2 linked regions of the Lepisosteus oculatus genome follow. The protein of the gene in region 2 binds, or shares a complex with, the protein of the main gene of each other region. Links are inferred from orthologs where the notes say so. Each region holds a gene or a part of one and is shown on either strand. Other genes may lie near its edges.

Region 1 (7,174 bases), on a different chromosome or scaffold from region 2:
CAAGACCCATCCCATGCTTACCGCCCAGCCCAATAGTGACTGTATAGTGCTATATTGCAAAGGGGAGAGCCACTACGCACTCAATACTGTACTTATTACGTTCCAAACCCTGACCCCAAAGCATATGACAGTAATGGTGTCATATGGTCTCATACAAGACTCCCACAGTGGACTGCAGAATTCACTTTTGACCCAGCCTGGCCCTGACATGAACAGTAAATTCAGGTCAATAGCTTACTTACTCAATCTACTCTGCCACCTGTAAAACACCAGGTTTAAGTACCCCCTTCAGAAATTCTAAAAAGCTTCTCAATGGCTAACAAACACCAACACAGCTATTACAAAAGTATCTCATCTACTTTCAATTGTAACTTTCAAGACTGAAATGAGTGCTGATTGTCAAAGACAGCAGGAGTTCACAAACTGACCACAGCAGGGCCTAACAAACTTCAATGCAAGGGAAATTAAGCCACTTTAAGGTTTTAGGAATTTGTACATGAAATAACAAAAGGCTGATCCTATGTTTACTGCCTTAGTTGGAGTATCTTTGCAAAGACAGCTGCAACTGAAGAGGAAGGGAAAAAAACCTCAGTTTCAAAGCTTTCTCAAAAACTACTCAGTTAAGAACAAAACTCCCTATGTCCGTCCATCCATGTTCTAACAGACTCATTCAATCCAGGATCGCAGGGAAGCTGGAACCTATCCCAGCATGCAACGGGTCCAAGGCAGGACAGAGGCCAGTCCATCACAAGACTCCTTATGTCCCATACACAATTAAAGGTACCAGTGAATTCGCTTTAATGGGTACTGTTGCAAGAGGGCAAATGTGATACCCGAAATGCTTTCAAATGAAGAACTACTACCAGAGTCCTTTGCGTCATGAAGAGGGGAAAGAGAACACTTGACTACAACAGGCAAGATTTTCTTCTCAATGGAAAAGTATACAATCATTTCTGCGATGTGGGAATAATGGATATAGGTTTTTTCAGCCAGCTTTAAAGAGAAATAAAGTCTGAATTGCAAGGGTTTCCCAGTAAACTTTAAAAATGTAAACCTTGTATAATTTCATCCAGTACTGCAGACGGAAAGGTCACAGATCTCAGGTCTGGCATGAGCCCTTGTCGAAATGTCACACTGGAGAAGCATCAGGAACACCGGCGTTACAAGCGCTCATACCGTGAATATTCATCCTTCTTAAAACGGCAAAAGCGAAGCTCGTGTTTTTCACGTGATCTCCATATTGAAAATGTATAAGCGATGTAACTCGTGATAAAAATAGTCAATTTGACGTTTTTAATAACCGTGCCTTATCTACTCCTTTTTAACGTTTCCTAACCAATAATTCTGCGCGTCAAAACACAGGTAATGTACAGGCACACCTGGCGAAAAAGAAAAATCACCCGTTCTAGTTTGGTCGGGCTCGCCACTAAACTTGAGCACGACATCCTGCCGTGCCGCCTGTAAACAATCCAAATCTTTCTTTCGGATTTGCACAGGGTCGAAAAAAAAGATCAACACCTCCCGCTCAGGCAGGAGGTGTCGACTGCAAGCAGTTGCGGTGGCCAGCCGTACGTTTCCGACCGGGGCTGTGCGTGGTCCTGGGACAGTTATCACTGGGCTCGGCTACACGGTAACACCTCATCACGTGTCCGAGCGAAACGTTGGGAGGTACCGGTACACCCCCACCTGCTGCTGCTGCTGCATGCCTGTACAGCACCGCCTCGCCGAGGAGCGGAAGACGGCAGAAATGCTGCCCCCCCCAAAAAAAAAACAAACAAACAAACGCGATGGCAGCGCACAGATTCGAGGGGGCTGAAGGCAGGGGCAGAGGGGTCTCAGTCCCGGCGCACGCAGGGGCACAGCGGCGAGGCAAAACTCACCCTGCATCTTCCATGGTTCCGGTCCTAGCGCATGGGTGCTGTCCGGCTGTCCGCTCACACCCTGCTGCTGCTGCTGCTCACGGCGAGAGCCGGGCGGGGGTCTGGCGCAGCGCCGCTCAGGGGTACAGGACGGACCAGCTCCCGAGTTCGCCAGCCCTCTTCCTCCGCTGCACAGCAGACCGGTGAATGAGAGGGAAGGACACACCTCCCCCCTCCCTCTCCTTGCTATTTTTTTCCCAGGTCTCCTTGCTCCAACCCCCCCTTTCTTTCCCTCTTCCACTCTCTGTGCGCGTGCGGACCCCCCGAGTGCGCGAGAGCGTCGCAGCCCCCCTCCTCCCCCCGAAAGACCCCCCGTGATCCATAACACGCTGTCATGAAACGGTCACCCCCAAAACCTGTATCGTTCGACAAAAAACGTGACACGGTGAAGACTGAGGCTGCTGTCGAAGCGCTGAAGAGCGCCGCCCCTTCCAGTGCGAGCCGACACTTAACACTGTGCAGTCTGAGCAGCCGAGCAACATGTGGGGGGGTTATAACTGAGCGTAACACAGAAGAGGTCAAACAAAACTGTCATGTATTTTAATATAGAGACATGGTATGTGAGAAAACATGCAATCGCCTTTCTGTGTATCTTTCTACAGCTGGCTGTGAACAGTCTTCATAGGACATGAGCAGCCTACTGCAGTATATCACGAATGATCTGCTATTGAGAAATGAACACGCTCGTAATTTTGTTTTATTGATTGTGCGACTACGTTATCACCATTGTTGATTGGTAACGTGGAATAGGCTGTTTTAACGCATCTTACTTTCACTGTCTCTCTTATGCAAAGCCAACAGCTGTAGGAAACCCGTGTCAATGGACAATGTAACACGAGAGTATGTCTCCTAAAACACGAGCGCAGTAATTTGTTTCTGCTGATCATGTGCTAAGTTATAAAATACAAATTGTCTTAACAGGCAAGCACATAAGCTTTCATTTTTTCCAGTCGAGCTTCTAGTTTCTTCTGCAATACAGTATGCAGTCTGAAAAATAAGCTATTTTTAGCTCTGCAATTTGGTTACCCGCAATTCTGGAACTAGACATTGTGATGACGATAGCCGGGCAGGCCTCGACAGGAGCGAGAACCTTCTTCACTGTTGGTCTTCGTCCTCACTTCCAATGTCTGGGGAGTGCTGATCCTGGGTTGTCGCATAAGGCCTTGGTATGATGATTTCTTACACATTTATATAGCACTTTTATGGATGCAACGGCAGACAGAGTGCACCAGCAGGATCAGCAATCAGGTGGGAGTGTGATGAAGCCAGGTCATAATTGGGGATTATTAGGTGGCTATGATTTGTAAAGACCAGGGGGGAATTTGGCCAGGACACTGGGGTCAACAGCCCTACTCTTTCTGATAAATGTCCTGGGATCCCTAATAACCAGTCAGGACCTTGGTTTTATGTTTTTTTTACACTGTAGCATCCCCTTCACTACCCTGGGGCATTAGGACCCACAAAGTTTCTAGGCCCCCCCGCATCTAGACCTGCTACTGAGTGTCCAATGAGAAAGGCCAACAGAAACACCGAAATCCCCCACCCCCCTCCTTATTTTGGTCGGACTATCAATGTACCGGACTCTCGAGCATTAGTGCTTTTCCAGAAGGATAAAACGGGGCACCTAAAGGCCCTCAGCCCCAGAGTGGAAGGGACTCAAGACCCAGGTTGGGACACTGCTGCTACTGTTAAATAAGGTGCCTTACGCCACACCGCTCCAACAGACCCAGCTGATTTGGAATCAATATCAGTATAGTAAAAACGACTGCTGACAACCAAATAGAGGAGCTTTGGAGCTTGCCTAATATGTGCAGGTGCTCCCACTTAACACGGGAGGAAGCTGGGCTATACTGCTCTTAAGATTGATCAATTACGGCACAATTTATCTGAGGTAACATGCATTGGCACCAGTTTAAACAACTGGGCACGTAACCGGGGCAATCTGAACAAACCCTCTTGCTCAGGGGTATGACACCCGTGTCCCACCTGCAATACGAACCCGGTCTTCTGGTTTCAAGTACGGAGCCACATTCACCACTCTTTTTCGGCCACAGTGGGGAAACAATCACAACATCACAATCGCACAGAGCTCGTTTCATAGCAACTAGAGTGTCCGGAATACACAGCCGACAGTAGTGTTTATAGACACTATTCCCAAAGGATTAAAAAGAATCTGGAAGCAACGGGGATGCAAACTCCATCAATTCCAGAAACTAGACATGCATTTATTGAAGGCAGGAAGGCAGGTACTCGTAGTGCTGGAGCCTTCGTGAATGAGCACCCAATCTGAAAGGTCTGAACAGGAGCAGTCACGAAAAGTACATTCAAATCTAAGTGCATAGTTCCAAGTATTCACTTCTCCCCTGCACAGTACAACCACCCTTAAGCTACACCCGAGTACTGCTCTGTAGACGGTAACTGTACCTGGAAGAAAAACATACAACAGCAGCTCGGAACACACAACTCCGAACCTTGGTAAGAGAAAGAGGACGGCACCGATACTCAAATACTTTTATTAAATATATATTTTTTTAAATCACAATATTTTTTTCCACCGCTTTTCGTTTTTTTTTTAAAAAGAGCGCCCATCAGTGATATTCCAGTCCGTGGATTCGTAGCCAAGTCTGCGTGACCTGTAAAACAGTCATCGCATGAGAGCTGCTCTGGGCAGCTGGCGGGGCACGCGGGGCAGCTCCGGGCAGCACACGGAGAGCACACGCCAACTTCACGCCAGCCAGCTGAGCTCCAGGATAGCCTCTGAGTGTAAAGAGAAAACAGTGTTAGAAAGAGTATCACACCTTAAACCCAACAATGATAAGAGGCTTCCCCCCAGTACGTATTAACTGAAGAAACAGCTTCTCGAATGTAAGAAGGAGATTAAGCTGATTGCTTTTATTGAATGCAGTAATTGCTCAAGCTGACACGACTCGTTTCAAACCCACTTTAAAGTAACTGCTGCCCCCGTGTGTTCCAAAAGTGAATACGTAAGGTGTCATCTTATGAAATTGGAAAATGAATTATTGCACATTTCCGCTGAATGGTGCTGTAACTTCAAATGATGGGTGAAGGTGACAAAACTCGTGTGTGCATTGATTTTTTTTTTAAATCTCGCACGTTTTTGGTTTTAAATGTTCCCTCCACGTTTATCAAAAACGCGTTTTAAGAGGTGGTCATGCTGTTCCGATTTATTAACCTTAATAAAAAGGCTTAACGTTTAAAGTAGCAAAGGAACATAAAACCTTCCTGAGGGATGGAACAAAATCAAAAAGCGAATATCTGCCGACGCGCAATGTTTTTAAAAGCCGTTTATAAGTGCCGAAAAGCACTCTTCTATCCCAATAAAAAGTGATGTGACCAAATCTCTCTCTACCGGAAAGACACCATTCAGTCGGTGTCCATGTTCAACGCGATAAGCGCTTCGGGACTACTATGCAACACGCTCTCAAAAAAAAAAAAACATTTCTCCCAAAAATACGGAGCCATAACCCTGAGGCTAACCCGCGGCCGATGAATGGCTGTTCATGAGCCCACGGCCAGACACAAGGGCGCGTCGCCAGAGCTGCAGAACAGGCCGCCGTGTCCGCCATAGCGGCGTTGCCATAGGAACCACGGTCTCCACGCACGGCTCTCCCGCTACGCAGCGCGGCGATTGCGGAAAGACACGTGACCATCGCTGCCCGACTTCGTCCGCCTCGGCCTGACAAAGCGCGCAAGAGTCACCGCCATCTGGTGTTTAAATAAAAGACTTCACCGCATCAGGGTAGGTAGTGGGCCAGTAAGCCCGAGTGCCTCCTCGCTTCCCCCCCGATCTCGACTTCCTGCCAAGCCCGACACCCCCCACTTCCGGCAGTCCCGTGCCACACGAGCCGCGCGCAGGAAAATATCCGGGTCCTCTCGCCCGTGACGTCACGCCCACTTCCCCTCCGCCATTTCCAGCTCTCCCGGCACCCCGTCGGCGCCGAAACGCGCCTTCTGCTGCCCTGCCTGTTCGCAGTCTCTCGCAGGCCCTGACAGTAAACGTGCGGTTCTTGTTGCCTCTTTTAATAGCAACTCGAGGAATGCGAGCACGTCGCTAATTCGCCAATGCTTTAGCGGACTGGAATGGATGCTCAGCAGCTGCTTCACACAAACGTGCACAGACATCTCTTTCAGCTTTGTGCGCAATCCAACAGCGTTAAAAATGAAACTGCTCACTTAGGAGTGTTCTCCTACCCACAGGAACTACTCGCAGCTTTTGTTTTAAGGAAAGGAAACTTCCAAAAAACGTCTGTGGACTCCTCTAAATGCAGGCTCGTCTGTTTTAACACATCACCCTCTTTCTGTTCAACCAGCACAAACCGGGATTTGGCCGCCTGGTGTGTTCAGAGGGTTGGTTGCAACAGCTGGTCCCACACGTGTCTGGCCCCCGGGAGTAATTCTGTCAGCTGTTATGTGCTGTGGCTAATAAAGCCCTTCAAATAAGCTCATCACCACCCCGCACAACCCAAAAGACCCCCAAGCACGAGCCCACTGGGAGCACTAAGAATAGGCGCAGGACGAACCGGCTGATTTGTGCAGGAATGAAATACGTGCACGCCAATTCCAGTCAACTAATGAGATGATGGAGGGCTGGAATACCAGAGGCCGTGGTTACCTTGTGCTCTGTTGCGTGCATTAAAATAACGTCAAGGACATCACAGGGTCTGGATTAGCACAGCTCAGAGGGTAAGGCTTTAGCCTGCATCGAGTTCCTACTCAAAAGTTCCCCTTAGATTCAGAGCTCTGTCTCGGGGATCTGCACCATTTTGTAATCGGTGCCATCTTTCACCCATCAGTGGTATGCATTTCCTCTGCGAGCACACATACATACCCCCCCCATCACATACAGGGGGGGAAATTTAGCACCTGCATACATCAGGGGACGCTGGCAGAAATGTCCTCCGAGATCCCAGGTACCTTAATTCAAGTCCCTCTGGACGAGTATGCCTGGGTTCTGAAATACCACACAGCGGATGTTTTCAGAGCGACGACCCCAATGAGTAAACAGGTCTGAGCGTGGGGGAGGGGAAGGGAACGGGTTATGGGGCGGAGCGGTGGCACTGTGGCTAAGGATCTGCGCCTGTGGCTGGAAGGTTGCCGGTTTGAATCCTACTCCGTTGGGCCCCCGAGCAAGGCCCTTCACCCCAGCTTCTCCAGGGCGCCGTATAAACGGCTGGCCCTGCGCTCTGACCCCAAGCTTCTCTCTCCCCGTCTGCGTGTCTCATGGAGAGCAGGTT
Region 2 (7,949 bases):
ACTGACTCGGCCGCCTCCTCAGGTGGCAACTTCATCTGTCAGCTGTCAGCTGTCAGCGTTACCCCCGAACAGCTTATAACTTCTATAGATCATTTTTATGCAGAGGGCAAGATTCCACTGCTGCCTGGACTTTCACTTCCTGCAACCTCACAGAGCCAGTTACCTGGTTTCTCTGGACTGGTCGGTGGAAATGTGAAGCTGAACATCTGGTTCTCCTGGCTGCCTCTCACACAGACCCTCTGCCTTCATTGTACCGGTAGAAACTAGGGGATCTCTTGTCTTTTACTGTTTTCCCCCCCATTTACCATGTTTTTTCCAAATCGTGTCTTTCTTTAAACCCAACTTTTTTTCATTGCAGTTGCAAGATTCTGAATCAACTCATGTGGACAAATGTAACTCAAATGCCAAACACTGCGCACCAGGCAGTTCTATGAAATCACATGACCCGGAATTAGGATTTTGTTACCTCAAAGAACAACACTACTCAGAATCAACAAACCCATCTGCTCACTTTTTAAAAATGTAAATAACATTACAGCACATATATGCCCATTAAGCCACGTATGTCCTACATTTTCATTGTGCATCTGGACCAAAACACACATAAGAAGGTTATGAATCAATCTAGCTTGTTTGGTTGCTAGTAGCTAATTGAACTGAAGAGCCAACCGAGCTGTTTTTTTTAAAAAAGAACTCAGGAGATCAGCTTTTAGAGCTTTGCTGGATATTTTGTGCTTCAACACTTTTTCTAAAAGGGTGACTCCTATTCTTAGATTGTAAATGCACTTCCCCTCAGATTCCACGTGTGCCCCCTGGTTCCTGTTAGTTTCTGAACATGTTCCCTTTCGGGTTAACTTTGTCAGAGCCTGCATCGTGAATCAGCCCCATCAGAGTCCATTTTCATTCCAAGCAGACCCCTCCTGACGAAATCTCCAAAGGAGTAGTGGTTTCGAAACTCTTCTCTCATTGATGGATTGTGGCAAAAGTACGACAGAATGCAACTCAAACCAAAAAAAAACCTTCAGTCTCTGTGGAATAAAGTTTCCACTCAAGCAGGGGCTTTCTTCTGTGAGTTGGGTGTTCGCCGTGTATTTTCGGGGTTAACTCTATCAAACCTGGCTGAAGAAAGCTGTCACAGCTCCCAGGCTGTTAACTTAGACAAACAAGTGTCATCAGAATAATAAGCTCAATTAACTTCTTTTGTGCATATGCAGCCAAAGAAGCCATTGATATGAAGTTAAAATCCTGGTTTTATCTGAATGTTGTCTTAAGCATCCAGTGTGACATCTTCAAAGAGACCATGTACGCATTATTAACATTATTAACTATACATTTTTAACAGCATCCCCACTCATGAAAGGCTGCTGTTCCAAAAGGCATATTGGATACATACTGTAGGTACCTGTAATAATAAATATTTGTGGCAGCAGAGGTTGCAGAATTGGTTAGGGTTAGATCTGGGGTATGAGTAAGGGACAGCTCATCGCCAGCACTTTCATGTGTTTTGGAGAAATGCTATGCGTGGCACCTCTTTGAAAGTGGTTGCATGAGACCGCATTCAGAGAGGCCGAACTTAATTAAAGCACCGCGATTCCGTGCTTCAGTGGAGCGCAAAGCAGCGCAATTGAGAAACCCAGACGAGTTCTAAACTTTGGAAAACACGTTCTCTCACAAGTTACACACACATACGTGCTCTACAAACACAAAGCTCCGGGATGTGGTAACAGCGCGGGGCTTTTCAACCCGCAATAAAAGCAGTATCACCTCTGGAGTGAAACACACCTCTCTCATCGTCCCTCTTACCTGCAGCTCGCACCACGCCACCTCCACCGTCGTCTCGGTATCCAGACCCTTGTACACCGTCTTGAAAGACCCCCTTCCGATTTCAATGTTGAATTTGAGGTACCTGCCGTCGGGGGAGGTGGCCACCGCTTTGGTCTCGATCTCCTCTTTCTCCTCTTGCTCCCACCTGCTCTCGGAGGCCGCCCGCGACAGAGCCGCCTTCTGCTGTTTGATTTGGGCGCCCTCGTCCTCCGAGTCCGAGCTGGCGTCCAGAGTGCGGGACGGCGCCGGGACAGCCCAGCCGCCTGCCGGCGGCGCGTCGTCCGCGCTCGGGGTGTCCGCGCCGGGCGCCGCGCTGGACTCGGTGGCAGGTGAGGGTGGACCGGGCAGCGGCGAGTCCGCTTTTACTTCTTCCGTCACGGTCCTCTCCGATAAGATGTTCTCGGAGGACCAAGACAGGGGCTTGGAGAGTGAGCCGTCGAAAAGTAGGGGCTCCAGCTCCATGCCGTTTTTCTTATTGAAGCGGTACGAGTTTCTTCTCGAATTTCCCGAGTGCCTCCGTCGCCTCGGCGGCACCCGGCTGGGCAGACACGAGTCGTCGTCCAGAACTGCAGTAAGATTTGGGAAACCGCAGCCAGCCAGGTCGACCTCAGCCTGGGACATGGTTGAAGTTTCTTCTTGAATGGCTGTTATGACCTTTCTGGCCCCGGCCGAAAAACAAAATTATACCTGGAAGGGACCTCTACACGAGACCATGGCACAGAACGGCGCAGCAGCCGGCGGAGATGAAGTTGGAGCGAATTAAGTATCCAGAAGGTGAGCCTTAATGCAGCCTTAGCGCTTCGGCTGCCTCGACCCCCGTCTTTGCTAGCAAAACGTCCGCTCAGTGTTTTTCGAGGCCGCAACAACAACAACAATTATTTTTAGATTGGTTGTCACAAACATAAACAGAGGAGAGAGGGAGAGAGAAAAAAAAACACACACACAAAGTGGTCCCGCCGATATATTCCTTCGTTGTTGTTAAAAAAAATATAAATAAAACGAACAAGGCAACTCCGCAATTTTAATTTTCACTTTAAAAAAAGTAGAAAACACCTTCGCGGTATACACCCAGCGCACGGATCTGGTCCGAAGTCTGGTGGAAAGCGTCTTTGTAAACATCCAAGAAACAGAAGTGCTTCTGTCACGACATCTCAGAAAACACGCGTTTGCAGCCGCGCAGTCCCCAGCCAAGTGGTGCGCTGTGCACGTCTGCAGGCGCCAGGAGCCTTTTAAAGAGCGCACAGACGCTTTGCCGATATCAACAGAAAGCAGGCGGCTCCTAGCACTGGCTGGACACCCGCACGGCTCCTCCTCCGCTGCCAGACCAAAACACCTTGCTTGGGCGAAAACGTGCGAACTACAGCGCCTAGAATCGGAGACCCGGTGCGCAGCCCGCCGTCTTGTGGGATCGGTATCTGCTTTCTAACACGAATCTTCTTCTGCCATTGCTGTTCAAGTTACTATTATCATATTCACTTTTTGAATGGATTTTGGAGAAGGCTACCCGGCGTCATCCAATTATTTTTTTTTTAGAAAAAGGGCTACACGGGCGATTTTTTTTAAAAGGCGCAGACACACAGTCCTATTGGTTTTCATTAGCGCAGCCCTTAAAACCAGAACCTTCCGACTTGTTTATCTCGTTGTTTTTCATCCCGTTTCTGCGCGACTGCTAACACATGATATATGGTGTCACGACGAGCGTATCGCGTTTTTTTTTTCTTTCGTGTGCTTCTATCAAAACGGGCCGATAAACATCGATGAAAAAACATCAGGTCAGCGCTTGCGAGAGCACTCGTGGGGACAGGGTCTTTATATAAACCTGGCGTGTGGCAATAACAAGTTACAAACAAATGGGCATTTTCTCATCACAGCTGTTCTTCACGTTCATGGCAGTTCAGGGTGTTCTTACTTACACTAGGTGGTGTTCTTCGGACCACTCAAGTACAAGCTTTCCAAATATTTATCAATGGGCTCCCAAGTGAATGTTATTCCTGATTCTCTTCAATCTGGTCGTTTCCAGTCCTATGTTCCAGCTATGCATTTTTCAAAACATTCAACTTGTACCATGCAAACATATTCTGTGTTAGTGGACTTAAGTCAAATTATTCAGGTGCTCCTTCCTTAAGAACAGATGGTTACAGATGAGAGGAGACCATTTGTCCCATTTCACTCATTTGAAAGTAGTTTATTGATCCACAGGATCTCATCCAGCTGTTTTGTGAAAGACGCTATTTCAACAGCTTGGCTGAAGAGCTTGTTCCACACTCCCACAACCCTCTGTGTAAAGGAGTACTTCCTGTTTTTGTTTTGATTGCACATCCCCTCTGACTGAAACAGAAGCGGAGGTAATTAACAGTGTAACAGTGTAATTAATAGTGTAAGTGCATTGTGTGAATATGAAAGGCCTGTGGCCAGCATAGTACCTCTGTGTTTTATTTAAAAGAAATACTTAAACCAGAGCACAAATACCCCAGATAACCCAGACAGTGGAAATTGCTGTGGAGATAATGAAACTGGACACCAGGGCCGTAATTAAGCTGTTCTTAAGTGCCTGTCACGATTGCCCTGACACAATGAAAGTTCGCTGGCCGTGTGCCACGCACCACAGCAAGACAAAGTGTAGGGCACAGATCTGCCTGGCTGGACGAAGTTGCGGTAAATGGCACAGAGGGCATTGCTGTCTGATAAAAGTATTGGTTTAAGGCAATTACTGAAATGTGCCATGCAGACTGCACATTGTAAGGCACAAGAACTCCCATAAATCAGTCTCTTCTGTTGTTTTCTTCCGGCTAGATTCTTGAATAACTGAATCAAACTGTTTACTTGATATGAATCAGAGATTTCATTTCAAGAAATGATGGGGGGGAGGGCTGCCTCCTGCTCTAGATCAAGATGTGGAACTGGGGTACCCTTTGTAATAATTTAAGTCCTCCTGGTTTGCCCCATTGCGACTTGTGTTGGGGCAGAGTGTGCCGTCTACAATATCACGTGCTCCATTGCCAAAAGTGTTTTTTGGAAGATGGAGCAAATTGGAATGTTGGGGCTTGTCTTCTCTTACACTTTGCTACAGTAAGACATTTTGACACCCCCAATGGGCTTAGGGGGACAAAGTATCCCATATACCCCCCCCATAAATGATGTCCCCTAGTTAGAATGATCTTTTCCAGCTAAGTAGCTAGGGATGACCTAAAAGAGACCTAGAAAGCTTGCAGGACTCTAAAGTGATAACCACGTGGTGCACTGGCCCACTGCAATCCGAATGACGTCAGCCCCAGCTCCTTCATTCCAGCTCACTGCCAAGCTGGGTGTCCAATATCAGCTTTTTAAAACACTGGCCTCCTGTTCTCCGGGCACTGTGTGACAATGTGCAAGTCACTACACCTGGGAGCTCAGCCAGTGCAGGTTGCAGTGCGAGTGCTGCGCCTGATTCTGGACTGTGGGGCAGGCACTTGGCTTGCTGAGTAACCCTCAGCTTCAAAGGGACAATCCCTCTTCCAGTCTCCCCCCTTGTCTGTTCTGCATGCAGCTCGGTAACTCTCTCATATTTCTCCAACACATAACCAGCGTACCGGAAGGAGCATTGTCCATCAAACTGAACGGGACATTAACAGTGATGAAAAATGATCATTATAAACTGACGCAGGATAGAGGGCATCATAAAAAAAGCAGAAGAGTAAATCCTACGTAATTACAGAATCAAGGACAAACCATAAAATGTGCTACAAGCACGTGGAACACTTAAGTTCTGTGCTCGTCAGATAGAACTCGTGTTCTTAAGAAGGTGAAAATATGCAGCACTGCAGAGGCAACATTCAGTTCCAGGGAGCTGGGAGAGCAGAAAAGTTTGGTTATCTCCGGGGAAATGCACTGAGCTCCACCTGTGGCATCGGAGACCTCCGGGTTATCAGTGAGAGCACATGGGCAGGGAAGGCCGGGCTGGGGCCCTGCCCTGAACAGCGCACGTGACTTCTCTCTCGGTTCAGAGAGAACGAGTCCTCCTCAGAAAACAAGAAAACAACTGCGAAAAGCAGGCCAGAATAATCAGCGCTCCAATCTTATACTGTCTCTTTGCAATTGCAGTTTGCTTAATCTGTGTTTTCCTGCAATTTGGCTCACTTATACTGTTGTTGTCCTTCCCTTACTGGTCGTTCTCTGCTGTTCTGCTCAGACTGCTGTTTGCCTGGCTGAAAAAAAAAACAACCACCTCTACATCTTCAGCTTCCTGAATTCTTGTGGGAGAAAGAGGGGGATTAATTTATGAGTTTAGTGTTACACTAATCCATCCTATTTAAGCGTTAATGTTTCACCAAGTTACTACTTACGTCATGAAACATCCAGAATGCATTACTGAGCTCGTTGAAAATGTTTTTTCTCAGAAGTTATGGTATATTCTGTGAGCGCAGAGACTAAGAAAAAGTGTTTTTTGAAGGATTTTCTTAATTCTTGATGAAAACAATGTTAAAATGGTAGCAAACAAAATTTTAATCCGTGACCCTTTCATATAAGTGTGATATTAACAAAATCTGATTTACAATGACCGTATTTGATCTAGATAATTTGTCACAGAAAAAATAAACATAACATTTGAAACATTATGTTAGGGCCAGGTCATTTTCTCAACTACATAGAAGCTAGTGATGTGATATATTTTAATTACACCTTTTTTGCAGTTTCAGATGTTTAAGATTACAATACAAAGGTGCCGTGGTTTCCAGCACAGCTATTTCCCGAGTGTTAAGAGACGGATTTAAGTTTTTTTTTGCCGTTTTATGCTTTGGCAGTATTATTCTACGCATTTTATACAAATTCGAGTTGGGATCTGCGTCAGTGTGCGGCGACTGCAAAGGAAGAAACAGGCTAATTTCACAATGAAAAGTAGGAAGACGAAACAGCGTTTCTTCCGTAAACTATCTGAGATAAGTTCATGCACAGTATTTGTTTTAGATTTCCAATGGGCAAAAAACAAAACATATAAACACCTGATAAAATATATACGCTAAAATGATCCTATGACATTATGTAGATAACCGATAACTTTATTACATACGTGTATACCTAAACACCCTGTATTTGAAACTCTTTGAGGATTCACTAATTTATTAGGTTTAATCATTATTGTTTTGCAAACAGTTTGACATTTAGCTTTTTTTTAATCTTTCCTGGGCACGCTCCCATCCAACATAATGCTGCTTCTAGCAGACGTTTGGGTGCCGTCAAGCCCAGGCCTGCCCGTCTCCGGCCTCCAGCGCCCGAGTCCCGATGTTGTCCCCCCCGTCCCACCACCCCACCTGCGACCGCGCAGCAGCTCCCCCTGCGGGGGGTTCACACTGCTCAGGCCTTTACAGCCGTCCCCTCAGCCCGCCGCCCGGGGCTAAGCCAATAAGTCAACCTAATTACGCCTTCATTCCGCCTTAATTAGCGGATGACCGACCTAAAGAAAGGAGATTAAGACGGACACAAATATTCGCATCTTCAGTCATAGCAGTGCTGGCATCTTCTGACAGGACAGGTTACTGTAGGTGTCCCGAGACTGGGAGGGTACAATTTCTTATTTTAACAGTTCCCCCCCCCCCCCCGGAATCTTTTGCCAGATTTCAATGTACTCCTTCGTCAAGATAGTGCGACTGCTCGGCCGAATCCAACTAAACATGGTGAACTCCAGCCACCTGGTGGACATTGTTGTGTTTGCAGGTGTTTTTATTGAAAAACAAGCCGTGTACCTTGGTACCACACAGAAATCCAAGTTGGATGTCGTTTCAGTTTATTTTACAGTAACCCAGCAATATAAAAGGCAGTCAAATACAGAGCAAATGGCTACAAGATTTTGACAGGAAGATCCAGCGATATGTACAATGGCTACCTCCTTGCTTATAATGCTTGTACAATAAAGCTGCATGCTCCCCATCTCCAGCTTTTTCCAGTAAGGAACCCCAAATCCTAAAGATCTTCCACAAGCCAAGGATGGAAAACTGTTTTCCAGACGTCTGTTGTTTGCTGAGAAATTCTTTATTGCAAGAAGTATTGCACTGGACCTGACGGGTATTTATCCTCGTCAGTCACTAAACAGAAGTTAATCACTGTAAAAAAAAAAGAAAATAAAAAACAGTGGAAAAATATTCTGGAAA

What was found. The genes of interacting proteins can lie anywhere in the genome.
Region 1: the proteins of serine/threonine-protein kinase WNK4 (region 2) and klhl3 are in contact, whole or in part, in a crystal structure (PDB 4CH9), measured with the Homo sapiens proteins. The link is inferred for Lepisosteus oculatus from reciprocal best matches to the Homo sapiens genes WNK4 and KLHL3. Residues at the interface, in NP_115763.2 of Homo sapiens: Glu557, Pro558, Glu559, Glu560, Pro561, Glu562, Ala563, Asp564, Gln565; in NP_059111.2 of Homo sapiens: Arg339, Phe355, Gly357, Ser358, Leu359, Arg360, Thr386, Phe402, Gly404, Gly407, Ser432, Tyr449, Gly451, Ser481, His498, Arg528, Tyr577.

Annotation. Positions count from the first base shown.
Region 1 is NC_090706.1:38,768,349-38,775,522, reverse strand, and holds the start of klhl3 (kelch-like protein 3), read right to left. Parts: upstream 3,067-7,174; 5' UTR 2,946-3,066; intron 2,112-2,945; exon of another isoform or gene 2,048-2,111; 5' UTR 1,895-2,047; coding exon 1,881-1,894; intron 1-1,880. UniProt on the Homo sapiens protein: Substrate-specific adapter of a BCR (BTB-CUL3-RBX1) E3 ubiquitin ligase complex that acts as a regulator of ion transport in the distal nephron.
Region 2 is NC_090723.1:4,339,900-4,347,848, reverse strand, and holds the start of serine/threonine-protein kinase WNK4, read right to left. Parts: upstream 3,095-7,949; 5' UTR 2,446-3,094; coding exon 1,804-2,445; intron 1-1,803. UniProt on the Homo sapiens protein: Serine/threonine-protein kinase component of the WNK4-SPAK/OSR1 kinase cascade, which acts as a key regulator of ion transport in the distal nephron and blood pressure.